2 linked regions of the Caenorhabditis elegans genome follow. The protein of the gene in region 1 interacts with the protein of each later gene in a pairwise test. Each region holds a gene or a part of one and is shown in the gene's direction. Other genes may lie near its edges. The genes, in order: ilcr-2 and ilcr-1.

The links.
Region 2: the proteins of ilcr-2 (region 1) and ilcr-1 interact in binary tests that used the Caenorhabditis elegans proteins (3 or more experiments, as listed by UniProt).

What each region holds. Positions count from the first base shown.
Region 1 is NC_003280.10:5,470,098-5,485,873, forward strand, and holds ilcr-2 (Interleukin cytokine receptor-related protein 2), read left to right. Parts: upstream 1-5,148; 5' UTR 5,149-5,154; coding exon of another isoform or gene 5,155-5,193; 5' UTR 5,194-5,311; coding exon 5,312-5,588; intron 5,589-5,636; coding exon 5,637-5,721; intron 5,722-5,779; coding exon 5,780-5,906; intron 5,907-6,204; coding exon 6,205-7,090; intron 7,091-7,142; coding exon 7,143-7,318; intron 7,319-7,366; coding exon 7,367-7,478; intron 7,479-7,530; coding exon 7,531-7,712; intron 7,713-7,758; coding exon 7,759-7,914; intron 7,915-7,958; coding exon 7,959-8,114; 3' UTR 8,115-8,429; downstream 8,430-15,776. Other genes in the region: clr-1 (Receptor-type tyrosine-protein phosphatase), read left to right, coding at 1-62, 120-503, 738-1,484, 1,532-1,627, 1,681-1,754, 1,819-1,957, 2,003-2,693, 2,742-3,043 and 1 more; mrps-16 (Small ribosomal subunit protein bS16m), read left to right, coding at 4,311-4,457, 4,519-4,645, 4,794-4,924, 5,155-5,193; Putative zinc finger protein F56D1.1, read left to right, coding at 8,523-8,719, 8,766-8,833, 8,882-9,012, 9,057-9,157, 9,204-9,362, 9,439-10,013, 10,067-10,200; cal-8 (EF-hand domain-containing protein), read right to left, coding at 10,513-10,541, 10,590-10,737, 10,786-10,880, 11,726-11,801, 11,850-11,939.
Region 2 is NC_003282.8:14,268,983-14,284,160, forward strand, and holds the start of ilcr-1 (Interleukin cytokine receptor-related protein 1), read left to right. Parts: upstream 1-7,477; 5' UTR 7,478-7,606; coding exon 7,607-7,922; intron 7,923-8,329; exon of another isoform or gene 8,330-8,405; intron 8,406-8,784; exon of another isoform or gene 8,785-8,811; intron 8,812-9,087; exon of another isoform or gene 9,088-9,108; intron 9,109-9,151; coding exon 9,152-9,429; intron 9,430-9,788; exon of another isoform or gene 9,789-9,809; intron 9,810-9,976; exon of another isoform or gene 9,977-10,000; intron 10,001-10,171; exon of another isoform or gene 10,172-10,196; intron 10,197-10,246; coding exon 10,247-10,433; intron 10,434-10,488; coding exon 10,489-10,610; exon of another isoform or gene 10,611-10,622; intron 10,623-10,769; exon of another isoform or gene 10,770-10,790; intron 10,791-10,850; coding exon 10,851-11,103; intron 11,104-11,158; coding exon 11,159-11,249; intron 11,250-11,332; coding exon 11,333-11,508; intron 11,509-11,570; exon of another isoform or gene 11,571-11,591; intron 11,592-11,835; exon of another isoform or gene 11,836-11,859; intron 11,860-11,875; coding exon 11,876-11,982; intron 11,983-12,106; exon of another isoform or gene 12,107-12,127; intron 12,128-12,564; coding exon of another isoform or gene 12,565-13,173; and 12 more. UniProt on the Caenorhabditis elegans protein: Forms a receptor complex together with receptor ilcr-2, which upon activation acts as a modulator of neuronal activity.

The sequences.
Region 1 (15,776 bases):
AATCATTCGACATTCTCGTTGACTTTTCCCCAACCGCCAGATGATATTAATGGGCCAATAAGGTATCTTTCTTTTTTAAAAAAACATTAAAAAATACATTGAACTTGTCATAATTTCAGCTGCTACTATATTGCAATAGTTCCACTTCCTGCAAATGTTTCTCTGGATATCTTGCCAAAATCTGAGGAAATAGTTATGCACTCATTTTCAAAAGTCTTCACGAACAATCTACTCCCATCGTCGGCTGAAGAGAAACGATTTTTCGCTTACATTGCCGAGTCGTATGTTCAATTACCAGAAGAAACAACGATAGGAGATGGTGTTAGAGTGTCTGATTTAAAAGCCTGTAATGTACAGTACCTCAGTCGATATTCGTCTGAAGATCTCGCATTACGGCGTGGGCTCAAGTACACCGGATTTCTAATTGTACGTGTCGATAAGGAAGAAGAATTGAACAGAAAAGATGTTCGAAATGGAGCTGATCCGAATATATTTAGGAATTTGTAAGTATACATAAATGTTATCCAAACGCGGAAAAATTCCTAATTTTTGCGCCTAAAAAACTGTAACACGAAAATTTTTCGATAAAAATTTCGCGACGAAAGCTTGAAATTACAGTACTATTTGAAGGTGCACACCTTTTTTTTCGAATTTCACAAAAATTTTTCGTGTCGAGACCGGCTTCCCATGTTTTTGGCGTTTTATATTTTCTTGTTCATACAGTAATTTATTTTCAGAATTGACAAAAGCGTATCTCCAACATCACGAACCCGTACTGCATCTCCCATGAGCCGCCACCTGCGTCAACTTCATTTGAGTGGGCCAGCGTATGGATATTCTGCATACTTCAAGCCAATACTACTTGACACGGAAAGTTCAAGCAGTGGATTCGGAATTTTCATGAAAATTATTCTGCCGTTCCTTCTGTTCTTAGCATTTGCAACTGGAGTTACAATGTTCTTTGTAAACCGAAAAGGACATATGCTGTCAACTTGGTGTCCATTATTCACAAAAATGACGTCAAAAGATGTTGTGGAACGAACTCTTCTGAAACAGACATTTGGTGCAATTCCAGTTGATGATCTTCCAACTGAATACGTTGTTCGACATCGAGACACGGATTTTCTGTTTGCACAAGAATACGAATCTCTGCCACATTTTCAATTGGATACTGTAGCCAGTAATAGAAAAGAAAATGCAATCAAAAACCGATATAACGACATTCGTGCATTCGATGATACTCGAGTTAAGCTGAAGAAAATCAACGGAGACGATTACTCGGATTATATAAACGCTAATTTCATTAAAAGCTGGAAAGAAAAGAAGTTATTCATTGCTGCTCAGGCTCCAGTTGACGCCACTATCGGAGATTTCTGGAGAATGGTGTGGGAACAAGAGTCATATTTAATTGTGATGGTTGCCAATTTAACCGAGAAAAACCGGCAGCAATGTGCAAAGTATTGGCCTGATGAACAGATTACAAGGTAAAATTTGGAAGTAAGAATTCTGAAAAAAAATAATAAAATTACAGATATGGAGATATAATCGTGGAGCCTGCCAGTTTTTCGTTCCATTCTGATTATGCGATTCGTGCATTCGATATCGCACATATAGGAGAATGTGGGCCGTGAGTTTTCATCGGAATAATTATTATTGTATGCTAACTTCTTCATATTTCAGTGATGTGATCCCGAATGGAAACGGCGTCGAATACGCGAATGTGCCAATTGTAAAAGGACAATTTGCTAATAATTGTGAGTTACTGGCGGATTCGTTAATTAACGATCGTTTCATATTTTTAATTAATTTTTTATTCAGCCCGTCGTATTCTCCAGTATCACTTTACCAATTGGAATGACTACAAAGCTCCGGAATGTTCCACTGGATTGCTTCGATTCATGTATCGTCTTCGAGAATTACCACAGTTTAATAACTCGCCTGTTGTGATACATTGCAGGTATTTATATTTTTCCAAAATTCATCAATTAATAGTTAATTTAAGTGCTGGAGTTGGAAGAACTGGAACATTTATTTCAATAGATTCGATGCTTGATCAATGTCTCGCGGAGGATAAAGCAAACATTTTCGAATTCGTGTGCAATCTTCGTCGCCAACGGAACTTGATGGTTCAATCTCTTGAACAATATGTGTTCATCTACAAAGCACTTGCGGAATGGCACATGTATGGTGATACTGATGAAGATGTTCGAGATTTTGAAGATCACTATCAACGATTATGTGCATCGAATAGAGATAGAGCAGTTAGCTTTAATCAACAGTCATCTACGAATGGATCAATATCTCCGAGAGTAGCAATTGTCTCATCTCGAGAATCAATGACAACTTCCAATGGAGAAACTGGATTGGAAGAAGAATTCAAAAAGTTGGAGCGAAATTTGACTACTCCTTTATCTTCAAACTTTGCTGCAAAAGACGAGAACCTTCTTAAAAATCGATATGAAGCTGCAGTACCTTTTGATAAATATCGAGTTATTCTTCCTCCAACTATTGGACATGCTGACTCTTCATATATCAATGCATCACACATAAAAGGATACTTTTTTGATTATATAGCCGCTCAGGATCCTGTTTCAGAAGGAACAGCTTTTGATTTCTGGAGAATGATTGCTGATCAAAATGTGACTACGGTAGTTATGTTGAGTGATGAGACAGATTGGAGTGATGTTGAAAAGGTTTGTAAGCAAATAAGCAGTTTTAATTAATTTTATTTTCATTTTCAGTACTGGCCAATCGATGGTTCTGGAACAGAATGTCACTTTGGATCGGAACGTAATTCAGTGAATGTTACCTGTGTCTCTGAAGAGCACCATCAAGATTTTATCATTCGAAATTTATCATATTCTATGAAAGATAACGAATCGATGCCAGCGAACCAAGAAGTTGTACAGTATTCGTATACTGGATGGCCTTCGGATTCAATTGTTCCAAAATCTGCGAACAGTTTGATGAATCTGATTGAGATGGTCCTGCAACGTCAGAGCAGTCTCATGGGATCTCAGGCTCCGATTGTGGTACATTGCAGGTAGGACAATCAGCAAGTGCTCATCATAAATAAAATCTTAAATTTTCAGAAACGGATCGTCAGAGAGCGGAATCTTCATATGCATTTCCTTGTTATGGCTCCGACAAAAAGCTGAACAACGGATAGACGTCTTCCAAACAGTAAAAGGACTTCAATCACACCGACCGATGATGTTTACCCGTTTTGAGCAGTATTCTTTCTGTTACAGAGCCCTAGCTGACTATATCTCTAAGACATATAGGTAGCTGTTGTTATATTTTTCCATTTATCTCTCTAGTCACATAATATAGTTGTTGCCTTCCCCGTTTTAGCTGTTTTCTGGGCACAAAAAATTCAACAAGCATACAAAAAACGGGTCAATGTTGTGCTCTCTTCCATATTTCCCTCTCATTACAAAGTTTTACTCAGTTATGTTTTTTTTCGTTTGTTTCCTCATGAATTCTATTTATTACCCAATCTCTAATACTAGTCAATAGTCTATTCTACACTCCCCGCCTCAACCAACACCACCGACACACAGAAACGAGTATGCAACTTTCGGATCCTTCTCAATGACTTCAGATGATTTTTTTTTCAGATATTTGCTCGAAAGCCATATTGTTGCCTTTTTGAATTATTATGTGTAAATATATATGATATCTAAATGAATTTATTATGAATTTTGATGATGTTTTATATTTTCCTAAATAATATTAAGATCAGTTTAGATTTCAAGAAACTTGACATGCAGATTTTTACGAATTCTTGTTGGCGCAGTCGGAAAAATTTGAAATAAAATTTCCTTAATTTTGGAAATTAAATCAGTTTTGTTTATCATAACTATCTCTTTTAATGTACCAAAAAACAAAAAAATATTACATTTTTCTATAAATTTTAAGTGCAATATTTGTCAATTATTTTCAACTTTTCTTGTTTCGTACGCAAATCAAACGAGGAAATGAAGGATTGTACAAAAAATACACCAGAAGAAATCAAAATTAAATTTCGCGCGAAATTACTCTTGTGTCCGCAAACACCGACGGACAACATTGCGTACTTGACACTGCACTTCACGACATTTAAAAAAGTTTTTCTCTCCACAATTTCTAAACTTTTTATAAACATTGTGTAAATAGTTTTTTGAGTTTTGAAATAATTCTATTCGAAAAAAAATTTTATTCTTAATTTGCAGCCGTTCATAACGATCGTAGTACATTCTGCCTCTCGTACGAGCTCAATTCTGTTTTTTGCAGATTGCTCCTTCTATGAGCGAAATTTGGTGCTGGAAATGCGAAAATTAGTAATTCCAAAATATTACGGACGTCCTTCGATCGGTTTGGCTCTTTTTGGTTGCACAAACCGACCGTTCTATCACGTTTGTGTATTTCCTGATCGGGCTTTAGGTCGAAGATACGAGGGTAACATTCTTGAACAGGTGAGAATTGCTTGAATGAAAAAATTGCTTGAATGATTTATAATAAAATTAATTTTTACAGGTGGGAACTTTTGATCCACTTCCAAATCAGAAGAACGAGAAGCTAGTGGCTCTGAATTTTGGACGCCTCAAATATTGGATTGGTGAACGGAACGCTCATATTTCCGTTCCAGTGCTTGAACTTCTCGGTGAGCGGAGAAACTGTGATAATTATTTTTTGGAAAATACACTTGGAAAAAAATTGCGGGAAAAATTCTTGAATTAATTTTTGATCTACTGAAAATATCAACTGTTTTCGTAGTTTTGATGATCAAATTAATTTTTTATTCATTTCAGGCCTGTCGGGACTCTTCCCAATTCACCCGAAATCGTTCATTCGAGCCAAGGACAACAGGGCGTTGATTGCCGATCAACAACTGAAGGTAGCTGCAGAAGCCGCGGAAGCTGAGAAAGTCGCACAAGAGCAGGTAATTAAAACTAATTTTTCTTCGATAATCTCTGATTTTTACCGCAGCAACATTAAAAAAAATAGAGATTTTCTAAAAGTTTTCCCGTGTACAAACATATCGTTTTCACCTTGTCGCCTCGCCTCAAGAGGTGAAAAGTCAACAAATTAGGTTCAAATTCTTCACATGTTTACAATCAGATATTCTTTTACCGCAAATAACGAGCTAAATCTTTTTACATCAATTTTCAGGCGTCAACTGGTGCCGCTGCGACATCTCACCCACAGTAATCTCACTTTTCTCTTTCTAGAATCTCTTAGAATTTATATTTTCTTCTATCTTTTTTGTTGTTAAGTTGCTTGTTTTCATTTTCTTTCTTCAAAACCGCACTTTAATTAATGACATAAAATGGTCCGCCTTTGCACTACCAATTTTCTTGCTTATCGCGCAACGGGCAGTCCCTTATTACTCCTATACTTCTATCTCTGTTCACTATCTTCTGTCAAATCGTCCGCAGCAGCATCATACACCAATGCTTCTGATTACGTCCTTCGGAATGTTTTTGAGCATTCCGATCAATGCTACAAAGATTCATTCGTCTATGTGAGAGCTGATGATAAGAAATCCGATCCTTTTATCACGTACTCCACGACTAAGGAATGCTCAGAACGGCTCAAGAAAAATGGTACATTTTTTCCCGAACCAGAAAGATAATTAATTTTCCGATTTTCAGATCTTCCTGAAAAGCTGCCAACATGTCCTCCTGGTCTTATTGATCTGGAACTCAAACCAGTCTACGTACCAAAGTCCCAGATAAGGTTGGAAATCAGTCAGAAACTGTGGAAATTTTTTAATTTAATTAGTTAATTTTTTCAGTTATCCATATGCCAACCTGAATATTTCCGTCACTGCTCATTCTTCCGTCGATACCATTGCATTCCGTCTTGAATGCTTGTCAGCTTCAGATGGTTCAGATGTATATTGTTCCAATTCGAAAGCCATGGTAACTAGATTTAACAACTAAAAGACGCGAAATTTTGAACGTTAATACGCCGGGGATACGGTACCAGGTCTCGACACGATAAATGTTTGTTGATTACGAAAAGGTGTGCGCCTTTAAAGAGTACTGTAGTTTTAAAAAACGTTTCTCTATAAAAAAGAAAAATCTTTAAACTTACATCACTCTTTAATGACGCAAACCTTTTCGCATTCAACGAAAATTTGTCGTGTCAAGACCCTGTAACGTATTATTTACGCTAAACTTCGCGTCTGGGTAATACAGTAAAAATTCAAATTTTCAGTACATCAACGGAGTCAAAGAATGGCCGTGTCGCGGAATTCATCTTTCGTCGAGAGTTCAATATCCCACCAGATTCTCGTATTCCTGTTTCCGACTCACTTCATTTTCTGTCTACGCAATCAATGCAACTATTCTACCGCAAAAATGTAGAGTCTCAACGATTATGACTGCTCCATACTTCGATGACATGTTCCCAGAGATTCTTGTGGATCCAACTACCAATCAGTCAATTATAACGAAAACGGATCCGTTCTGGGCACCGATGCTGTCTGCTGATTTCAGTGATAAGAATGCGATTTGGGTTAGATTGGGAAAAGCGGAGAGGGCAGAATGCGAAACTATGGTTGTTAATGTCTACAAGGAACACGATGATGATTCTCAAAAAGTGACATTTCTGGAAATTTTGACTGTGAAGTGCCCAGAAACCGCCGTTAAATGGGAAAATCAGAAAGCAGGGAGATACCTTCTGACGGCATACGTTCCTATTCGTGGATGCAAATTTTATTGCGAGAAGAAAGAACGAGGATGTCGGCAATGTCTTCGTACTCATCTGAACCTGGTTATCTACAAAAATAGAGCTTCACTGTCTTGGCTCGCATTGCAAAAGTTCAAAGATTATGGTTTCGAGATTTTCATCGCTGTCGTTGTACTTTTGATACTGATCATCGTTCTGGCTGTAACTGGATTTGGTTATGTACTATGGAGAGACAAAGTTCGATCTCGAGAAGTTCGAAATATAGCATTGACTGAATTTGTGAAGGTTATGATAGTTTATGCGGATGACAATGATTTGCATACCGACTGTGTGAAGAAACTTGTCGAAAATCTCAGAAACTGTGCATCCTGTGATCCAGTTTTTGATTTGGAGAAGCTTATAACCGCAGAACGTAAGTTTTTAAAAAATATATAGTATTTTTCAACTTTTCATACTAATTTCAGAAATCGTTCCATCCCGCTGGCTAGTGGATCAAATCAGCTCTCTAAAGAAATTTATAATTGTGGTTTCTGATTGCGCTGAAAAGATTCTCGACACGGAAGCTTCTGAGACTCATCAGCTTGTTCAAGCTCGACCATTTGCTGATTTGTTCGGGCCAGCTATGGAAATGATCATTCGTGTAGGCAATTGACTCGGATTTTCTTAAAATCAAGAAAAAACATTTTAGGACGCAACACACAATTTTCCGGAAGCTCGTAAGAAATACGCCGTTGTCAGATTCAACTATTCTCCACATGTTCCACCAAACTTAGCGATTCTTAACCTTCCCACCTTCATTTGTTAGTTTATTTTAAAATTTAAAATGTAATCTTTCTAATTCTGAAATTACAGTACCTGAACAATTCGCGCAACTCACTGCATTCCTGCACAATGTAGAGCACACAGAAAGAGCCAACGTCACTCAAAACATATCAGAAGCTCAGATTCATGAGTGGAACCTTTGTGCTAGTCGTATGATGTCATTCTTCGTTCGAAATCCGAATTGGCTCGAAACGAGATGGAAACCGAAAGACGTGAGGGTTTTAATTTTATGATTAATTTATAAAACTTCATTTTCAGGAGCTCGCAGCGCTTCACCTCAAACGTCAGTCTCCCGTCATTGTTCCAATCCAAACTGAAGAGGATCGCATTGCTGCTTCTATAAAGTATAACCTGGTGCCCCCGCAAGCACTCGTGGACAGTGATGACGAAGATGATGTTGATCTCCAGCCACACGTATGTTCATTCAAAATGTTCTCAGCTAGAAATATAATTTTTAGGCTTCTCATCAGAACCAGCCACTCATTCTCCTACCACCTGAACAGTGCGGCCCTGACTCTGATTCTGACTCGGAATCTGACTCCAGTTCGGAATCCGAATCTGAATCCGACAATGAGGGTGAAGATCCGAAGACGATTGTTGTGAAGAAGTCATGAAGAGACTTGTTATTTTTATTTGCTTATTGCTTGTTACGGTGTGATACGTGGTTAATTATGGTATATTATTTCGATTTTTCTGTGCGATGCTTTTTCATGTTTATTTAGTCAGCGTGTCCCTCAATGAGATGTCTTATTGTTCTGAAGCTACGTTTTCCAGAACTCCAACATAGCGGAGGCACGCTGGCTTCTCATAGTTCAGAATTTATAATTTCCATGTCATTTTTCACTCATTATTTGATTTTTATATATTTGATAATTTGTTCTAGGATTTAAAAATTACGCTATCTATAAATGTTTAACATTTCCTTAATTGTTTTCTTTATTTTTCTCTAATTAAAACAGGTCTTATAACCTAGTCTATCTATGAAAAATTATTTTTACTGTTATCCAAAATCCAAAATTCAGATGATATCTTCGTTTGAACCACCATCTTCATCGTCATCGTCTTCTGATGAAGACTCTGATGATGAATACCGAGAAGAAGATGGCAACAGTGAGAGAAGCAATTCGAAAGTATGCATTGAAGAAGTTGAAGAAGTTGAAAAAGAAGAAATTGCGAGCAGAAAACGAAAAAGAGGAAAAACGAAAGACGAGTTCCATCCGTATGTGGAATATTTTTATATAAATGAAATGCGAACATTTTTACAGATGTCCGTTCTGTGAGAAAAAGTTTCGATATCCCAACAAGCTGAGAGAACATATAAAAATTCATGATTGTATGTTTCAGCATTCTTATTTAGTAATTTAGATAATTATTTTTTCAGCTAATCGTTACCAATGCCTTGAATGCTCGACAATTACCAAATTTGGCACATATGGTGAATTGAGAGCACATCACAAACTACATCATTCGAAGGCTTCTCATAAGTGTCCACAGTGCTCGTACACTAATGAGGTGTGAATTATCGAGTTGTTCATCTTCTGATATTGGAATTTCAGAAACCAGCATTCATTCGCCGTCACTTCGAACAAAACCATGTTGATGGTATTCCGTGTACAATTACTGGCTGTTGTATCAAAGTAGCAAAAAATCGGCTCAAGTGGGTTTCATCGATTAATAAAAAATACATTTTAATACAATTTCAGAGCTCACATCAAAGAATATCACACGTCTATTCCATTGTCTACCGAACAAACTCGATCTAAACTATCTTTCAACAAGTGCCCTCTATGTGAATACAAACCTGATGTTTCAGATGATGATCCTGAACAACAACAGAAAGATCTTGAGGATCATGTTCAAAGGTAGGTTGTAAAAATTCGATTATAAATTATTTTTTTTAAATGAAAACGGTTTTTTGAATAATTTTACCTATTTCAGAATTCATGAAGAACGTGAGCCAGCTCTATGCACTTTAGGATGTGGTGTTTATTTGGGATCCGGTAGTGTAAGCGAGCATCTATCGACATGTTCATCCTTGATTCAAAATATACCATCTTCTTCACAATCGACACCAGCACTTCAAAATGATGAATGGAATGATGCTAACACTGAAACCACACTATCAACAATCACAGGAACTTCTAGTCAATTTGAACGTGATTCTGTGTCTGAAGTTACTAATGATTTATCGGAAAATATAAACGATATCGATGAGGAAATTGAATTCGGGACAACTGAACCTCCGAATAAAATAAGAAAGCACAGTAGAAGTCGAGTACATGGAGACTTCAGCTGCGAAATATGCCTTAAAACATTTACATTAAGAGACAATCTTCGAAAGCATGTCAGAGTATATCATTCGGAAAATTCGCAGAAAGTAGTTAAATCCACGGGACCAAAACACCAAGAACAGTACAAATGCGATCGAAAGTCAAAAGATGGTGATGAGACTACTTGTGGAAAAACTTTTCGAACAGAACAGGCACTTCACGATCACTTTAATGTTCATGATGGTAAATACTTACAATCTAAAAGTTTAATATCTGAAAAAATAATTAATGTTTAGGTATCAAACCATATTCCTGTCATACATGCAATCAAAAGTTTCACGCACGAGATCGATTCGCCGTTCATCTATCAAAATATCATCAAACAAGTATCAAGGATCTTACGGCACGCGTGGCTACATTTGGATGTTGAATTTGGCCATTAATATAATAGAATAGAAAATAGAATATACAATTGTTTCAATCAAGTTTTACAACCATACATCACACCGGTAAAAAATTAACCAACGGTAGAGTTTAGTCTATTGAGTTTCATGATGATCTTTCAATTGTTCGAAGTATACTACTTGTTTTTGTTATTGTATTAAATAAAATGTTGTTGTTTTAATTTTTAATCAATAATTATAAATATGTACACAAAAATTAAACGATAGAAAAATGAGATGTAGATCAGCTGTGCGAAGGAATGGAAAAGCATTGATGAGATAGTTTTTGATTCTTTTGATTATTGGCCCTTAATGATATTGACGAACTCTGTAATATCAACAAAATATAGATAATATAGATTAAATCAATTCCAACCTTGAAAATCGATCATTCCGTCATGATCTAGATCTCCTTGTTTTATCATTTCTTTCGCTTCAGTTTCAGTTAACTTCTCTCCCAATTGGCACATAACAAAAATTAAATCATCGATGGAAATCACGCCGTCTCCATTTTTATCGAACACCTGAAACAAAACAGGTTTATTAGTTAGATGCAAAATCAATGTGCTCACATTAAAAACATCTCTCAATTCTCGTTCTTCTTTCGGATCACAGATTTGTCGTCGGAGTACATTCAAAAACTCATCTATATCAATACATCCATTTCCTGAAAGTATTCAACTTTTTCTTCCCAATACTCAAAACACACCATGAGTTTAAATTATCCATAGACACGTTAGGTTTCGTCCGTCAAAAAGTTCTAAAGCGTAAAAAAGTTGCATTCCGCTTCAATTCATCATCATCTCCACCTACATATTCTGCTTCCTGTTATCGTGCACTCAGTACTTTTCATTTTTTTTTCTGGTAAAAATACGGGAAAGTTGGAAATTTCCGGAAATCACACGCGTTAGTTCTATTTTTGAACACAAAATGTACCAGCTGTTTGAAATTTTTGAAGTTATAGTGGTGTGGAAGCTTATTCATGCGGAAATCTTGTTAGTACACTAGAAATAGAGAGAATACTGTATTTCGCTACAGTAGCCAAAGACTCTTTTTTGCATTAAAGCCCTTGATGTGAGCTCATATATTTTTTGAGAAATTATTAAAAATTCTTCAATAGAAATTGCGAAGTAAAGTATGTCGCGAGTACGGTAACTGAAAAAGCTAGGCTCACAACTTTAAGATATTTTGCAATTTCACATTTTTCCCCAACATGTGTTTCATTTTCAACTCTTGTTAATTGTGAAATTATAAAGAAAAATCGTCAAATATCAAGAGGGAATTACAACACAAGAGATCACGAGTACGGTAGCAGAAGCTTCGCTGGTGCCAGGACCTGATTTTGAAATCCAGTTTTTTGTTGCGAAAATGCTATATTTGATTTACAAAAAATCTCAATTGTTTCAAATTAGATTTTAAGAAAATACCACTTTTTGTTGGCAAGAACTAGAATGTATTCAAGAATATGGTCAGTATATACGGAAAATAGGATGAATAGAAGTTTGATCGTACCATCTAAATCAGCTTGCTCAATCATTGTCTCAATCTTCGAATTGCTCGCTTTTTCTCCCAATTGAAGAAGAGCAACCTGTAAAACTTATATTTGTCCGAAAATTCACAAATTATAACAACAAACCTCCAACTCTTGTCTTGTAATTCTTCCATCTCCATTTTTATCAAACTCTCGAAATACTTCACGAATTTCAGCTTCTTTCAGTGAGTCCATTTTAGCTGAAATAATGTTCAGTAGAAAACGAGGGGAACAAGTGAAAAATAAATGATAAAAAAAGGAGATGCACGAATGAATGACGGAATGAATTAATGAATAAATAAATGTATATGAGTGACAACTGAATGAAGACGACGACGATGAAAATGACATGAAATTTATGCGGAAATTGGAATTGGAGACCTGTGAGCCCCGCAAAGTTTCACTGAGCACCTGAACTTTGAGCACTTTTGAATTGAAATGATGATGAGACTCAAAAAAATGATGGAAGAATGCAAACAAAGAGGGAAAAGTCATGAGAAGGAAAGTGTTCTTGTTGAGTTTTGCGGGGGTTTATTGGGACACCAAAACACCATCTTTTTGGACTCCAAAGCCACGCCCAGTTTTCAAAATCTTTTAGACACGCCCCAATGATTTTTGTCATAAGACTTAGGAATCAAAAGTTGTGAAAGTTTGTGATTGTGAGAAAATGGATAAATAACTCGAAATTTCAAAGATTAAAATGTCTGATAGGGGAAATCTCAATAACAAAAAAAGGTTTTATAATAATAAAATGTTGAAGAAGGAGGACTTGGATTGTACACATATTTATACTTATAACTACAGTATACCATTTATTTCCGATATTCCAGAAACGCCCATTTTTTGCCATTTGCCCGGTAAACGCCCTCTATATTTGAAAAATGAAGATACTATGAAAAATGGCACAAAAATATATACATAGAAGGTCACTGACAATGTGATGAGGCGGGAAAGAGGCGTCCCTTGCACGCCGTATGGGGTTTCCAAAAACTTATATGATATTCCTACAATTTTATTAGTTCAATGTAATTATAGGAATTAGAAAACCCTTTTTTGAACTCTTACAATTGCAAAAATTACCAGTGGAAATTGCCGTATTTCCCTATCAGACTTGCTTCACTTTATCGGTTTATATCTCGGTTTTCTCAAGTTTTATCAGGAAAATTGTAACTGAAAATTTGTAGAAAAATATTTTGCACATACTTTGTAAGTTGACAATATTTTATAAAATCGAAGAGAACGGAGAGCTATCAAGTTAAAGCGATAGAGGTGCAAGTCTAAGAGACAGTACGGTATGTAAGAAAAATTTCAAATGCCAAAATATTTTTGAAAAATGGTTTACAAACGCCAAAATATTGAATATGTTCTGCAATTTATTTTTTGCCTACAAATCTCTATTCTCTTAGTCTTATCCACTTCATCTTAGTCGTTGCTCTTCGAAATTAGCTCGATTTCAGTGGAGCTCATGAGAATCTTATTGCTCCATGTTGCATATATCTTGCAAAAAAAACCAATTCGTATTGAGAAAAAGGCACATACAAAATAAGAAAATGCAAATATTGGTGAGAACAAAATGAGAAAATAAAAAGAAAAAATCTCGTGATTCTTTAATAATAAACATTGAAGGAATCTTTATGGAAACGATGAGAATGAAAATAAAAGCGGGAGAAAAGATAGAAAATGAAATAGTGTTCTGTTCCAATGAATGGGTAAATATGATCCGCATCTGGGTAAATATAGACTTGTAAATAAAAGAAAGATTCGGTTCAGCTTTACCCAGGACATAGATTTTAAATGAAAAAAACATAATAATTGTTCCAATTTTTTTTTACATCGGAAGTTTTGGTAAGTTGCCATTTTTCAAAAATTTTGAACTTACTTTGTGAGTTTCAAGTATGGCTGCAGGCCAGAGTTGCTACGAAATTTGTCAAATGTTCATTGTGAGCTGACTCTAGCACCTTTCTAGCACAGCGCAAATATCCGATCTTGTTCACTGTCTGCTAGTGTTGTATTTTTTAAAGGCACAGAAGAGCGTTCGAAAGTTTCCAATTAGTTAGAATATAATTTTATAATACAGGCGTCTGCTTCAGCTTTTCAATAAATTTTCCAAAAGAATCCACGTCATTTCATAGATACAAGCCTGAACCCATCTAAACTAAAACTTTAGCAGACATTATGGGTGAATGCATCCAAATAATGGGGTTTTTGCTGGGACAAAAAAGTTTTGGAAACGAGGAATGAGTATGGGAAATGAGTGGAACATGTACTTCATTTGATTGACATTCTGCCTTATTTTTCCTTCTAAAAGTCATTTTTTGGCTCAGAAAAGAGTGGAGTTACCGCTTGGATTAATCAAAAATTCAAGGGTTCCATTGACCACCAGACTTGTCTCGACTTGCACATTGGTGATCTACATCACTTTCAATCCAAAAAAGTATTTGTAAATGCAAAAGGGTGTTGAAAATAAATCAGATCTCTCAGAATCTGAAAACTGGTAAAAAAAGAAAACAAACTAGAGTCGGGTAAAACTGTGAAATCTTTAAACAATGGAACGAGAATGAAACGATAGTTCGGAATAAGAAATTAGTCTTTCCATTTTATAAAAGGTAGCCAAATATTTCTCATATTTGAAAACTTTAAATGAAGAAAGGGTCACAAAAATACATTAAAATCATCTGTGGTACTAATAAATCACATTGAGAAACAACACCAACTTGGAGCTCTAGACAGAATCCCCACAGACTAAATTATTTTCGATATATCTTTCTTTTCTCTTTCAGTGCAGTCAATTATCGTGTTTTGTTTATTTCTGGTAACGAGAATAGTTGACAGAGATGTCGCCAAATCAAATTTGATTTCTTCTTGGAACACTTTTTTGATCTTCTGGGATTTCCAGATTTTTGGCTTAAAGCGTAAGCTTAGACTTAGGCTTAGGCTCAGGTACATGCGTAGATAGAAGGAAGGAGCACAAGGCCTGAAAACGTGCCTGTCTTCTAAAAGTCAGATCTAATCGGGCCTCTTATTATTGCGACAAAAAATCATCTGCGAGTTTCTATCATTTTTCTTTTCGGATATACCAGTCATACAAGTGCTTATTTTTAGAAATTAAAATGTTGAAAAATGCATGTCAATTTGAATTTCTTAGAAAAATATTACAAAATGACAAATTTCAAAGTAGATGTACATTTTCTCATTTTGAAACCCCACTTCAAATGTCAGATTTGAATCATTTTGAGCATCCGGTCTTTTAACTTTTCTCAGAGTTTTTTGAAGATCGCAAGAAAAAAGGAATAAGAATTGGAAGGTTTGTCCGAAAGTTTTCACAAACAAATTGAATTTTACGAGGGCATCATATCTCCTTTTTTTAGCTCAGCTCGCTTCTCATTTCTGGTCAACGGTCGTGAACTTTTTTGGTGCGTTTTTTGGACTATGAGGGATCGAAAATTAGAAAGTAAAGAAGCGAAGAAAAGGCGAAGAATCAGAAAAAAGTCACGGTGGGAATCGGAAAAGTAGGTGAAAAAAGGACATAATTGGGTTGACAGCTGAAATAAAACAAGAGAATGTGGAGGTGGATGAAGAGAAGAAAAATAGGAAGGAAATTGGTAGAGGAAACAGGAAAAAGGACAGACAGCATAGATTGTTAATATTAATTGGTTGAAAGTTTCAGACGGATATGATCAATGAACTTTTAGTCGAAACGTTTGAGACAGGCATATGACTAGGCTCATTTAAGACCCGGTCTAGGTTAATGTCAGGTATAGGCTAGTCCTATGCTAGTCCTAGGCAAATCCGCGGTAAAGACAACTCCTAAGCTTATAACTAGGTTTATCATAGGCCGATTGTAGTCCTTGGCCTAGGCAACTCCGCGGCATAAGGCAGCTCTTAACCAAAGTTAGATATCATTTCCCAAACTCATTATTCTGACAAGTAAATAGGTTTCCGGCGTCCTCTACCGGAACTTTATAAAATAATTCCAAGAACGACAAGCTTTAGTTTTTTAATAATAATAATTGTAGGAGTCACGCAAATCTC
Region 2 (15,178 bases), on another chromosome or scaffold:
TTCGTTTTTTGCATCTTTTTCCTTTTGACCAATACACATATATAGGTCATCTAAACTTTCTCTATAATTCAAGCTAATAAACATTGCGTGTTTGTGTCTGATGGTGGTGGGTTCTTGGAAAGTAGTCATCATGTTTCCGGTACGTTTAAGGATCCATTTTTTTGATGTCATCACACTTCTAGCAAGTTTGATTCAATATCGAGTTTTGAACAATCAAAAATGAAAGTGACTTTCAAAAGTTCAAAAAAATATGAAACATTTTCTGTTTCAACGTAGTTTGAAATTTCATAGAAATTTAAAATCTCAATTTTTTTAATTTATTCCATTAATCAATTTCTGTCATTTAAACTTTGCAGATCGCATTTTGATTTATGGAGCAGAATTATTTCAGCTTGAAGTTTTTCCAAATTTTTACAAAACTGTGTAAAATCAACTTTAGATCTTCGAGTTTTATCATATTTCACGATGATTCAAACATTTAAAATTTTTTTAATTGTTTGACAATCGCTTTATTTCAATTTTTGACTGTTTTTCAACTTTTTTGAAATGATCTAATTGTTAGAGATAATCACTCCAGTTTTGAAAGTTTCTCTTTCTCGTACAAAAACTCTCAATATGCTTATCAGAAACTGGAAATTTGAAATTTGTCTGGAAACTTTTAAAAGATATGTTTCATTGAGTTTTTAAAAGTTTTACCTTATTTCTTTCCAATCGTTCCGTAGCAGATATTTATCGTTGAATACTTTTTGAGAATGATTGGCTCAGTTCACAGTTTTAGGAAAACAAACTTACTAAAATAAAATTGCTCCAACAATAATAATTATTATTTATTTATTAAAAAAAAATTGTTTCTCAATTTCTCTTATCTTTTGTATTATATATTTTCTTCCACATCTTCCACACACTCCCCAGTACTTTTCATTTTCTCCTTTTCAAAAGAACTTTGACATATGTTTTTTATCACGCTTAATCTCAATTTACTTGTCTAAAAATTATTTGTTTTATTGCAAATTCACTCGAAATTAAAGTCCTCAAAATTCAAGTTTTTGTGGAATTTCACTCAACCATCCAAAAAAAAGGATTCTTGTTCAGTTTCATAAAGTCTGTAAAACAATACTTTCTATTGCTATTTATTGATACACGCGATTGATTTTTATCGAAAATTCCCGGTGCTTGATATATTTTCAATTGAGAAAACAATTTTAGCTCGAAAAAATTATCTAATCTGTCAAAAAAAACACAAATTTCCTAGTCAATTTGAACATTTGCTCAGAAATTTTTTTTACTGTTTCAAATTTTTATCGAATATTGACTCCACTTTTAATTTCAATTTTAGCTCTTTAATGTTATTTTTTAATAATTGTATTTAAAAGCTAAAGGTAGAACATATCTTATTCATTTTGAATTTTTTACTTTGAATTGTTTTTTGAAAGACTAAATAAAGTCAATGTATAGAGACAGACAGTGTTCTCTGTTTTGAAATGTTTCTCAGGCATAATTTGAATACGTAGATCCATAAAAACTCAAAACTTTTCAGGATATATAAACTTGATTTTTCGAGATAAGAGAAGTTTTTAAAAATTTCCACTTTCCAACATTTTCGATAGTGCCTACAATTGGTTAAAAAAAACTTACTTTACATTTAAATAAACATCTGTTTCTAAACTTCAATAAATAATTGAAGATTTTATGTTTTGTATTTTTATCTTCTTTTCCATTTTTCCCCAATACTTTTCCCATTTCTCAATTTCAATAGAACTCCCCGTTCCCAACCATCAAAACACAAACACACTACAAATCAAATATCATGCTTTTTCTCCCCTTTTTTATGATTATTTTCCCATTCCGTTCGCCGATTTTTGACGTGTTGGCAGCCGTTTTTCTAGTGTGAATATTCATGCATAAATTTTCTACTCTGAACATGTTTCCAAACTGGTTGACACTTTCTGACAAGTGTTCCTTTTTTTTGATGTAGCTGAGTTCAAAGTTGCAAATTGCGCAGATTTTTGGAGTTTGAAAGTTTGAAAAAAAGTCAGGCTTAGAAATTTGTAGATGTGCTTAAAATTGAAATGTTTAGAATTATACTTTTAAAATTTTGATCTTTTGATTTTTTTTTTGCTGGTGAAAACTTCTTTTGAAACGCTGAAGAACTATGATTTTTCTCTTTTTTCACGGTTTTCCAGTTAAGTTTTTGATATGGTATGATACTGATGAAAATTGTATTTAAAACAAGTTTCTGTATGGTAGTTTAGCATGATTTTACTTTTGGAAAATGTTCTGTTTCAGAAATTTCTTATAATTTAAAATTTTTTATGTGTTCACTTTCACGTTTCAACGTTTTAGTTATAAAAAGGTAAAAACCGTTTCAAATTTTTTTCCTAAAATACTCAATGAAAATTAGCATAATTCACTCAAAAAATATTTATGTTTCAAAAACTTTTCAAAATACATAGTTTTTGACTTTTTTCACTGCTTTCACCTTCTTCGTACAAAATGAAACAATGTAAAATTCGGTCTGCAAAAAAAATTCAAAGATGATGTATTTCCAGTAGGGAATTAAAATAAACTTACATCTCTGTTTCTAAAATAACCGCACTGTACAACTTTTCAAAACATTCTTTGGATTTTTTTTTCAGTGACAGTCAAAAGGTGGCACTCAGATTTTATATGTCATAATTTAGAAAGTCTAAATTTGAAAAATTAAATTCGCAAAAACTTTTACCGGAAATTTTGGAAAATCTACACTATGTTAAAGTGGTTTTTATGATGTTTAATTATGTTGAACTGTTTCAACTTCCAATGTAAAAACATATTACTGTTTTAAAAATTTTGGATAACTCAGAGTTGGATCTCTTTTTCATTCATTTGCTTTCATTCGGAATTTCGTTCAAAGTTCTGTACTTTTTCGATTTTTGGTTGTGTGGGAGATCGGAATTATGAATATTTCAAAATTGAACTGAAATTGGCAATTAATGAATTCTGCCCAGTCTCACCAGTCTTTAAGTGAAAAATAGCACTTAACCGTTTCATAACGTTTTCTTACAATGCTTGTTAGAATGTTGTTAATTAAATTTGTTTTTGTCCAGCTCCCCATTAATTAATGTATGTCTGTTGCACATTCGTTAAGTTCTCAGTATCTTTCAATTTTACATTTTATTTGAAACAATTTTATACTGTTTCAGATAAATATTATTTTTGTAGTCCGCCGATGAAATTATTGATCCAGATTTGATGTTCAAAATAAATGAATAAAGAAATGAAATAAAGCTCAGAAAAAATTCTTAACCGTTTCATAACGTTTTCTTAAAACATTGATAAAATTAAGAAAGCATTCAGATTCTTAAGTTGCATCAAAAAATTACACTGTTTCAGATATGTTTTATTTTCACAGTCACCACATCAACGTATTCCGTTGTTCATTATAGCTAAAAATTTAAAATGAAATGAAGAAAAACAGTTGCAACCCAAAATGCTCTGCAAATCGCTTCGTTTTCCCATTGCGAGTGTCTCTCTATCTCCCTCACTCAATGTGTTAATATGCAGGGGTATATGATGTACTACATCCTCGATACTTTTTCGCATTATTTTGTGCATTGGCCTTCCATTTGTCGAGCACGTCTTTCTCTCTTTCACTCTCTCGTTTTCACTTGAGTGCTGCTCGTTTTCTAGTAGTTTTCCCCTTGATTTCATGTGCTCTCAAAGAGGGAGAGAGTGGACACACATCAAAACTTCTTCTTCTTCTTCTCCTTTTTCTCCTTCTTCTGCTCCTTCTTTTTTGCTCCTTTTTTGCTCACAGCATTTTCTTGGGGGCTCTCCTCCTCCCGCCTCCTCTCGAATTCCTTTTCTCTCCCTTCTTTGGTTTAAGAAAAAAAGGAGAGAGAAGAAGCTGAATAAGGAGCCAAAGAGCCACATACACGTGCCAATGTGAAAACATAGATGGTGGTGGTGGGCTCTCTCACTCTTTTTCAAAGTTCAAAAAGTTATATTGTTCGACAACATTTTTGAAAGTCCAGACTTCCAAAGTCCTTCTCTCCTTTTTTGCTTTGCCGTTTTAGGAGGTTTCAGTTCGATTTTGAATTTGTATTTTCTTATGGGGCAGCCGTTGAAATATTATGTTTACTTCAAGCACAGTACTTGTAGACATTGTAAAACAGTTGAAAACATGAAATATGTCAGAACTAAAAAAAACTGTTCCAAACACAGTATTTCAGCAGAATTTAAAAAAAAATCAATTTGGATTAAGAGCCGGATTTTTTGAATATCAACATTCTGCCATTTAGAAAAATACGATGATGTTTCAAATAAGTTACATATTCCGAGATTTCCTGTTTCAACATTCATTTGTTTTATTACAGTTGGTTTTCTTGTTTTTGGAAATCTTTTTGTCTTATTTCGAAGTGGAAAATTTGAAAACAGCTGCGATTAAAAAAAAATGTTTTACAAATTTACAAGTACTAGCTAGGTGCCTTTCAAAATACAGTGTGGGGAACTTTCACATTGAATGAGGGCTGTTCAAAAAAATTTGTAATTCTACTATTTCAAATATAATTGAAATGTGATTTTGTGTGTGATTTTGTGATTTTGAATCTGGCCTGATAGTGGAAGATTTTTTTGTTGGCCCAACATTTTTGAAAGTCCAGACTCTCAAAGTCTTTCGCTCCCTTATTCTTTGCCGTATTAGGAGATTTCAATTGGATTTTTTTGTATTTTCTTTTTGTACAGCCGTTGAAATAATATGTATGTTTCAAGCACAGTACTTGTAGACATTGTGAAACAGTTGAAACGTTGAAATGTGTCAGAACTAAAAAAAACAGTTCCAAACACAGGTTTTCAACAACAAAAAAATGTTTATGCCAATCAGGAAGAAGAGCCGGATTTTCTGAATATTAACATTGTCATTAATAAAAATACAATGCTGTTTCAAATAATTTTCAAATTCTGGTAATTCCTGTTTCAACATTGCAAACGTTTCTTTCCCATTTTTTATTACAGTTCGCTTTCTTGTTTTTGGAAATCTGGGTATCATACTTCGAAGCGGAAAATAAATAAAAAATTTCGATAAAAAATGTTTTTCAAACTTTATAAGTACTAGGCAGTTTTCAAATTACAGTTGGTTGTGTTTACAAATGTGCTGTGAGTTGTTCAAAAAATTTATAATTTTACTGTTTCAAATAAAATTGAAATGTGATTTTGAATCTATCCTGATAGACGACGAAGCTTTCAAATGACAATTAGCCCTTTTAGGATCGTTTCAAATGTTTGAAAAAAATGCGATGCTGTTTCGCAATGTTTTGAAGATTAAAACTATTAAATTATTTAGTATTCTAAAATTTCCTGTTTCAACATAATTATTAATGCCTGTTCACTCTTTTTTACAGTACTGTCATTTTTTTTTGCATAATACACATCTCTATTTCGAATTCAATTTTTTTCCAAAATTCCTATTTAAAAATATTTTTTACGAACTCTATAAGTATTCGAATAGCTTTGAAACTTCAATCAATGTCCGCTTAGCGTTCATTAAAATTAATTCAACATTCCAAAAAGCAAAAGACATTTGAAAGTAATTATTTTATTAAATTCTGGGATTTTCTACTTTTCCTAACTGATAGCCGTTTTGCATTAACTTCAGCAATATGGATCACTTTTTCAGAAAAACATGAAAAGTATAAATACCAAATTTAATATTGTTTTCCTGTTTCGCACACTTCAACTAACAATTTCAAAACTTCTCAAATAATCATAAACTACAACTTCAGCACTCTCTGATTATGCATTCCTGATCTTATAAAGCCTAGAAACTAGTTGTAGCTCTCGTTTTCTCTTGCTCATGTGTGTATGCATACGTGGAGAAGATACTTCCATTCGCCTGATCTTTGAATGAACTCGTTAATCTTTTTTCCCATTTGCGAAATGTATGCACATGAGATTTTAATTCAAAATTTTCCTCCTGGACTTTGAATCGACATTCTGATCTACCTTTATCTTTTTGCAAGAAATGTTACTAATCTGAGTCAGTTCTATGAAAAAAACCAAGGCGGAAGTAAAATACGTCAGATATTTTCTGTGAAATCTGCAACGTCATTTGGTTATCAAGCCGCCAAAGTAGGGCTTTCACCGAATTTAGCTCAATGTGTGGTGTTTGACAAAATAGTTGCTTCCGACACCACGCGGGTTTTGTCAAATTACCAAAACTGGACACAAAGGGTCAGCGGAACCCGCGAGGTGTCGGGTATTTCTAATCTTCTAGTGTTTGTAAGTTTTCTGTTCTATTTCTCATCAATTGGTTTTTTGTATTGCAATACTATTTCACTTAGGTTTTAAAACTAAGTTATTGAAATGTCTGAAAATACGGCCAAATCAGATTTCTGACTGATGAATGATGTGACACAATCAGTTTGCGCCCGACAACACGCGGATTCATGAAAACCGCGCTCATTAGCGAAACGGAACCCAAGTGGTGTCGGGTGCTTCGGATTTACTTGATACAGTTCGAATGTAGAAATTCCCTGAAAAAGTCTGGGCAGTTCTTCTTCAATTCGTTCTTCAGAGTTTTTCATTTCGATACTGTTTCAATTCGGTAACATAACTTAGTGATTGAAATGCATGTCTGCTATTATTTGTGATAGTTGAGAATCAGTGCCCTTTTAGCTTCTATGTCAGAGAGTCGATCTGACATGATCATCTTGCGACCGACAATTTACATGTGCTGGCAATTGTCTAAACTGCCAAGCAAAGCACACCGCTGAACCCGCTTGGTGTCGGCTGCTCTGTAGTAGAACCTTCGATTTAGATTCATTTCCAAAATGTTTTTATTTCAATACTCTTTCAATTTCGTTCTATAACTAAAATCTTCCATAATTTGACAGTAGTCCACCACACTTCCTCGTTTTCCAAGATCTCCGGGATAATTCCCCATTGGTGATTGTGCATTGGAGTCTAGTGGAAACTGGAAACTAATGAGCACTCTGGTTCCTTGCGGTGCCATTGAGTGCAAAATGTGCAATCTTCCTGGTCTACTTATTAATTGAAGTTTTTGCGGTGTGTGTATGTTTGTGTAGGACGTTTCCTGTTTAGGGAAGGAGGATGATTTGTGGACATTTTGAGTCTAGTTAGGAGTATGGATTAGGGATTTAAAATATTGAAATACTAGCTTCAGAATGAGAAAATGTTTTTTTTTATTTTTTTATTTGAAAATAATCTAGTAAACTGCCTGAAAAGTTGTCTTTTTTTCAGGCACTTTTTGAAAGGTTTTTTCAAAACTTTTAAACAAAAATGAATACAAATTTTGAATTGAATCAATATTTTCATATGATTATGTCTTAATTTTATCTGAAAGTTATACTATCATACTCCTTGTTTCTCCAAAATTTTGAGCATATTTTCTGTGCTCAACCTGTACAAACATTTCTCTCTCTCTTTCTTTTTCTCCAATTTTCTCCATCCCAACCCCATAATTTTAATGCATTTTTCTTACTTTCAGAAACCACCAATCACAATTAAAGGACTACTGAAATCTTCTCCTCCTCCCAACCTCCTCCTCTCTGCTCCATCACACAACTGCAGCTGCATCACCAAAAAACGACGATGTCCTCCACTTCATAACATGTTTCTTCATTCGCCTGCTCTTCTCATCTGGCTCTTTCTGTTCTGCTTGGCTGGTCCACAAGCGGTACGCACCGAGCCGTACAATTCGACTTCTTCTTCATCTTCTCCCACTGCTAATGACGTCACATCATCAGATTTGTTGCTCTTAGCTTCCGAAGAAACGCCGACGCGGGCGCCTAAACCGGTCACCAAACAGGGAAAAAAGAATGTGGTGAAAGTGAAAAAAGGTGGAAATGGGACAGTCGATGATTCGCCATGGGTTACGGATTGCTCCGAGCCACTGAACAAGGACATTTCATGCTCTGTTAATATTAGTGAGTTTTAGTTGAATTCTTTGATCTAATTGTAAGCAAAATATTCTGAAATTCTCAAATATCACAGAAAATTCTATAAAGATTTCAAAATCCAACTTGTGAAAAGTAGGCCTTCATAGGTGCGGAAACGTCAATTCCGGAAACCGCGCATGCCTATCATGGAAATTATACTAAAAGCGCAGTTTTTTTGATAAATATTTATGTTTGAACATCCTCCAACACAACTTGCCACACCCACTTTCCAACCAATTAGCTTTTTCGAGCTTTGCTTCTGATTGGTTGAAAAGAGGGCGGAGCAAATTGCTGATTGGTCTCACGGTTCTAATACTGAATGAAATTGAAACAGGGTGACTTGGCGAAATTGAAATAATCTCGTTTATTTTTAATATTTAAATTTTCATGTATTTTACTGCTCAGTCAATATGTAAGGCTTAACAGAAAACTAACTTCTTGTACAAACTTTAACACCTACATGAAACAGTACTTTTAAAATTCCAAGAATTTTCTCAAAACTTACCTATTTTACTGCTCGACACCTTACTACTTCTTTCCTATTATTTTGACCACTCTTCAGCTAAACTCGCCAATTGTCGGGCGCCAACGGAAACTCGAAATCATTCTCCTTTTTTTTGAAATTCAAAAGTTCAGTCGTATTAGTTTCCGTCGTTTTGCAAAAAAGTAATTTCCGTTTGCCACTGACCATTGATATAATTTTCGGCAAAAAAAATTATTTTTGGTGAAATAGACAGAAAAAATCAGGAAATGTGTGATGTTAGCTGAGGTACTTCTCCTGCCAAACTTTTACAGTGGTTTTCCATCAGACGTCAAGTGCAAATAAACAGTATGACAGTGTATATTGATACCAGATACAGGAATTTTGGCAATAAAACTGAAACTGAATTACTGAATTGTATTAGAAAAACACCTGAAACAGTATACAATAGTTTTTCAAAACTAAATATATTTGTCAAGTTTTCAAAGTGTCTCATTATGAAATTTGGGATTTCGAGGTCTTTTTCAGAATAATACTGTTTTTAAAACTTATATTTTATTTTCAACTATTTCGAGATGTTTTCTTATTTTCTGAAATCTTCAACCCAATTTCAAAAAAACAAAATCTGTTTCACAATTATGATATATTGAATCAAGGTTTTTGAATCAATATTCTCCTCATAATTTCAACTAAAAAACAGCACCGTAAACTCACTATAATCTCAAAAATCTTTCAGTCGGTTGCTCGGACAACGTGTTCAAATACGTAGACGCCGGTCAGGAGCCGCCTCGAGCCCATGACGTCAGAATCGCGCCGACGACAAAAGTGATGGGCGCAAACCGAATTGACAAGAGGAAACATCGGTTGCATGTCGACGTGTCATGGCAGATACCTCAATTAGAAGCATCGACACATTTGAAGGCATTCAAATTGATTGTCAATGGTCCTGATGGAAAGAATACTTGTTTCGTGTTTAATGTCACGCAAACGCATGTTGATGATGAGGGTATTTCGGTGAGTTGATCGTGTTGTTGGGGGAGAAGGAAGACTAATTGAATATTAAAGTTTAATATAGAGTAGGAATATTGAATTGAAATGACCTCTAGGAACTCTTGAAGCAGAAAACGTATACAAATATTCCAAATGAGAATAGGGATTACATATAGGCGTAGGTATGCCTCATATCTACTGCCAAAAAAATTAAATATAATTTTTACTGGAACTTTCAAAAAAGCCATACGACCAAGCTTCCTTCTTCACGAATTTATTATGTGAAATTTTAGTGAATTTTCACAAATAAGCGTTAAGCTACTTCATTTTCTTGTTCACTGTTTCACAGCTTTTTCAAGAAAACGGTTCACAAAAGAATGCAATTCATAAAATATTATCCTTCTTTTTTGAGATCTTTCAACTTTTTGTTAAAGTTCAGACATAACATGTTCTGCCAGTGCCATAATTTTCAAACTAGGTTGCTTCTTATAAAACCGCAGGCCTTGTTTTTCAACAGTTTAGTCCTCGAAATAGAATCTATGTTTATTATAAGTTTCTATTTATAAGTTTCACAAAAGACAAGAAAATCATAGCAATCTCATATATAATGACTCTACAATATCTTCAGTTTCTGAAACAGTGAAAATTTTGAGTCTCGGAAATTTTTTTATCTAGCCGCAAAAAAAGCTTCCAGGAATAACTGATTTAGGAATTGGGATAATTTCAAAATTCTCAGGTTCAAATTCACAATTCAATTACAAAATCGATCTTTCTCAAGAAAATTCCACTAACACCTTCAAAATTTCCATAAATCTTAACAACTCATAGAAACATTTTTTAGCCTCGTTACCGTTTCTCTTCAAACACGTTGTTCGACTTTGGTCACAACTACACAGTAACCATTGTGAGTCTCCCAATGTCTCGGAAACGTGCTCCGAAGGTGTCAGCCACGAGCTTAATGCCTGATGATCCGGATGCGGCGCCGGTGAAAATTGTCAAGACCAACGAACAAATGTGTGAGGGGAAATGTAAGAGATATATTCTTGATTGAATTATGTGAGAATATGGATATTTATGCTTCAGCGAATCCACAAGCTTCAAAATGGGCAGCCAGCTTCCGGAAAATCTTCCTTTTCAGTGCGATTAGGCTGATTCAAATCGAGTTTTTGGCGGCGCCACCGCAATATTGTTTTGAGGAATATGAGGTAATGCACTAATTGTGGAACATTATACAGCACAAATTTAAAAACAATGTGAAACAGCAGAAAATTCATTTTCAAGCTTGTCTAGAAAATTTCAAACGTCCTGTCATTGTGAACACAATTTTTGATTTTTCAAATTCTCTCGGTACTTTCTTTTTTGAAAAAGACAATTGGACAAAACGAATGCAGCCGTAGCAGCTTCCCTAGCTATACAGTTTCTGCGAAACAGTAAATTTTCTTCAGGTGCGCCTTCTCGATAGCTCTGGAATTGTGATGCTCCAGTCAGCCATAATCACAAAAGACGAGCTCAGAACTGAAATAATCAATGGTCGACCGGTCCAATTTGGAGAATTCAACTTCACCGACATTGAGCTCGACACGGATTTAATTCCATCAGTGATACCAATTGAAAGTGCTCACGACGGAAGATGCCTATGTGTCACTGAGAATGGTTGCAGCTGTTTGGCAGCTGATTGGAAACCAGTCAAATTAACAAGTGAGTCACTTTTTAAAACAGAAAATGAAATGAGAAGCAAAATTATTATTTTCAGGAATTGAAAAGCCTCCAGCTACTTCTAATCAAACAGAGGAAAGTGATGGAAAAGCAGAGAAGGATAAGAAGGAAGATACTACATGGACTTGGTGAGTAGGAGATACAGGGAAATGTCGGCTGCTTTTTTATATGCAGTCGAAAAATCCAACCAAGAAAACCTGACAAATTTCAGGCACACCTACGCAATCACCGGCGGCGCCATCATTGCAATTCTGTTCATTCTCTCAGTTTGTGCTGGCTTAAAATGCTACAAAAAGTTTAACAACAAGAAAAAAGCATCGAATATTCACTTACTCAATGAGAATCCCGCATTTTCACATTCCGGATCAATTCCTTTGATTTTGAAGCGTAAGTCATATTATCACTGTTTCATAATGTTTATAAAACAAAATCGCTTTGTAAATCATCATTCTGCTTGATTGTCTATCCTAATAAGTCTTAAAACTTCAAATTTTATTTGTTAGGATCTGTTTTGATCCACTGTTTTGATCTAGCTAATTTTGACTTAATTTTTTCTGATCTCAAGAAAAAGCGGGGAAAGTTTTATTGTGAGACGCTAGGAGAAAATAAGCATGACGTCACTCTGCTCAAAAACGAATTCTCTTAAATTCTTTTTTTTTGCATTAGTAATGTTTCAACACTGTGTTAATACAGGACTAAAAATTCACTCAAAAGTAGTCGATTGAACTTTTCTGTAAGGTGGCAAAAATTTCAGAATCCATATCAGTTCTGATCGTATATAGTCATGACTCTGCTCAACATGAAGCTGCAGTTTTGGCGTTTGCAGAGCTTTTGAGAGATGTTTTCAACTTGAATGTTCACGTGAGTTTATTTTTGAGTATATTTTAATTTAAAAGTTTAAAAATCTACAATGATGAGATTTTCAAAAAAATTGTATCTCCTGTTTTGAACAGTTCATAAAAGTACATAACTCTGAAAACGAAGCTTCCATCAACTTACTAATTCTTGCCTTACCCATTTCCCACACTCGAGATGAACTCTTGCTGGGTTTGTCTCGTTTTATAAATTTATTTTCTCATTAAACCTTAAAGTGTACTACCTTTTAATGTATTACCTTTTGGCACAGTTAAAATGCTATGCGCGCAAAGTGTTTTTGGCGTGGATCGCGAGTGGGAGAAAAAGGAACCGGAAATGATGCGCATTGTGCGTCCATCGCGAATTTGAATTACATTTTGCGAGCATCACGAACATAAATAATGGGCACATTGTGGATTCTCCTTTCTGATAATAAAACTACTAAACCCTGCAAATTCTGAGCATTCAAGCGAATTAGTTGAACCAAAATACATTCATTAACAGAGCAAAGTGAGTTAACATTTTTTCAAAACAACAAAAAGAAAACGTTAGTAACAAAAAATGGAACTCGTAATAACAATAACAAAATTATCGAATCATCATCGTAGCCATTTCGGTTCTCGAAGTTGGACAAGTCAGCCGGATCCGTTCCCCCTTTGCGTCTACAGCTATTGCCTTCATCGCTGAATTTTCTATCAGTGTTTTTAACGTGTAGTATTCCAACTCCAAGCTTCGTGTATTCTTTTCCTTGGAATTAGAACACTTATACTGAAAAATGAACATGGTCCATTAAAACTATGCTTCGAAACTAACTTGCTGCTGAGCACTGCATCCAGCTCTTGATCTTCGTCAGTCTCCATCTTTTGAGGTTCTAATTTTCGTTCATCATCCTCGCCAACTTCTCGTTATGCCTGATTCTGATTCTCCATGGCTTTCTGTGCGAGATCCGCGAACCCACTGAACTTCGGTGTTTCTTTCGGCTTGTCACCACTGAAAATTCGATAATGGATTTATGATTATGTTTATACACCAACTTTTTCCCAAAAAAGCAACTGAAGAATTATGATTTTTCGTAGAATCAACCGCTTTCAGTGTATTGGGCGTTCCATTTTCTCGCACTGCTTTGGCTATTTTTCGTGGAGCAATTTCTTCTCCAGAAGTTTAAGACGATTTTCGGCACTTCTGTACAATGGATAACGAATTTTGTTGAACAAAATTACCAAAATATAACGGTGAGAGCGGTCAAAGAAATGTTGATTAAAAAATCTAAATGACAAATCACGAGCTAAAAACATTGGAACTACCAAGATATTGAACGATTTGTTCTGAGAATGATCAAATATCAGGCTAAATGATAAAACTACAGTAATCCTGACGATTTTTTTGTGTACCAGTAACAAAATATTGCTTAACATGCGTTTTCGTTGAATATTTCAATGCTAAAACTGATTAGAGTAAGTTTTTTCTATAGACATGGTAATTTCAAAAAAAAAATCAATATTAAGATAATATAAGGCATATAGAACAAATTTTCATGAGACAATCAGTAAAAAAAATCAAAAATTCAATAAAAAATGAAATTAAATGCGAAAAAATAGGCGAAAAAACACTTCGAATTTTGAATTTTTGGAACGCAAATGAACACATCTTGGGCCCACTGTGCGCCCATCACCTTCCGCAAGCGATGGGCTCGAAATGGGTGGTCGCCGCATGCGATGGGCGCATTATGGCTCTTCATCCACTATGCGCGCATCGCATTTTAACTGTGGGCTCTTAATGTTGAAAATAAATCAAATCAAATCAAATCAAACTTCGGTAATTCTTTTTTTTTTTAAACAAACATTAAACACATTAGCAGTCCGTTAAATTTTCTTATTAAGCAGAAAAAAATCAATTCTCAATTCACATCGAAATTCCTACTCAATAGAATTGTAACAATCATATGTTTCAGGACTTTACAAAAAATTGTGTCACCCAAAAATTACTGTTTCATAATTTGCATATCCTCAAATTGAGTTAAATTTTTTCACTGTTCTTTTCTTCAACCAAAATAACATTATTTCAGTTAGACGTCTGGGATGAGGATGATATCGAGGAAAATCGTGCGGAATACATCAATTCAAGTATAGTCCGGGCGAATAAAGTGATTATAATCAATTCAATTGGTGCCTACTTCCGAACTGTCTTCCGTCATCAAAGAGAACCTGCAATCGAAAGAATTACAACCGGAAGGAACGACGTGATTTTCGATATGCAGTGTGAATTGGCGTTACAGTGAGTTCGGGGGGAACGACATGAAAAAAAATATTTGAAAAATTAGAATATGTTTTTCCAAACCAAAAAAAATTTAAAAATGTTTTGAAACAGCAAAATTTTTTGTAGCTCAAATGAAAAATTGAGCAAATTTTCGAGGGAAAGCGTCTGAGTTGTAAATTATTAAAATTAACATAAGAATAATAAAATTTCCTTGAAAAAAAACTTAAAGTGTTGTCTGTATCACAAGCAAGATGATCATCGGATCTTGAATTATTGATTTTAAAACAACTAATATTGAAAAGTTCAAACTCAACGAAAATGTAATCGTCAACATTGATTGTATTCATTGCTGTCTCAATATCTTGCAATAAATCTAACCTACTTGAAACATAATCCTATTAACTTTCCAGACACCCTTGCGTGATATCCTGCCACTTCAGCTACACCAATCCGAAATACGTGTTCTTCCCAATCAATCGTCTCCTACAGTACTCTATACCAAATAGTTTAATGACAATGACAACTGCATTGACTGAACAACCTGCAAGACCCGAGCAACTTGCTGGTTTTAATCAAGTATTTGCACGGTTACAAGCAGCAATTTCAAGGAAATTGAATTACATTGAAAGTGATCCACAATGGTTTGAGAATACTCATCATAGAGTTGCCACGCGTAGAGTTAGTGAGTTGGAAGCTCATAATATTGTGCCATTGCCACCAAGTTTGGAAGTAAAAGTTGAAGATGAGGATGCCTTCGGTCAAATGGAAACTTTGCCGATTGACGAACTCAAGGAGAAGTTTGCTGCAAAGAGAGATCTTGAAGTGGAAGTTCTGGACTCTGAAGACGTTAAGCTTCTGGAAGACGTTAAATGTGCTCCGGGACCAATTCATGTGGAGCCAACGGAACCTGAAGTTTTGGAACCTGCTGAAGAACCCATGGAAGAAG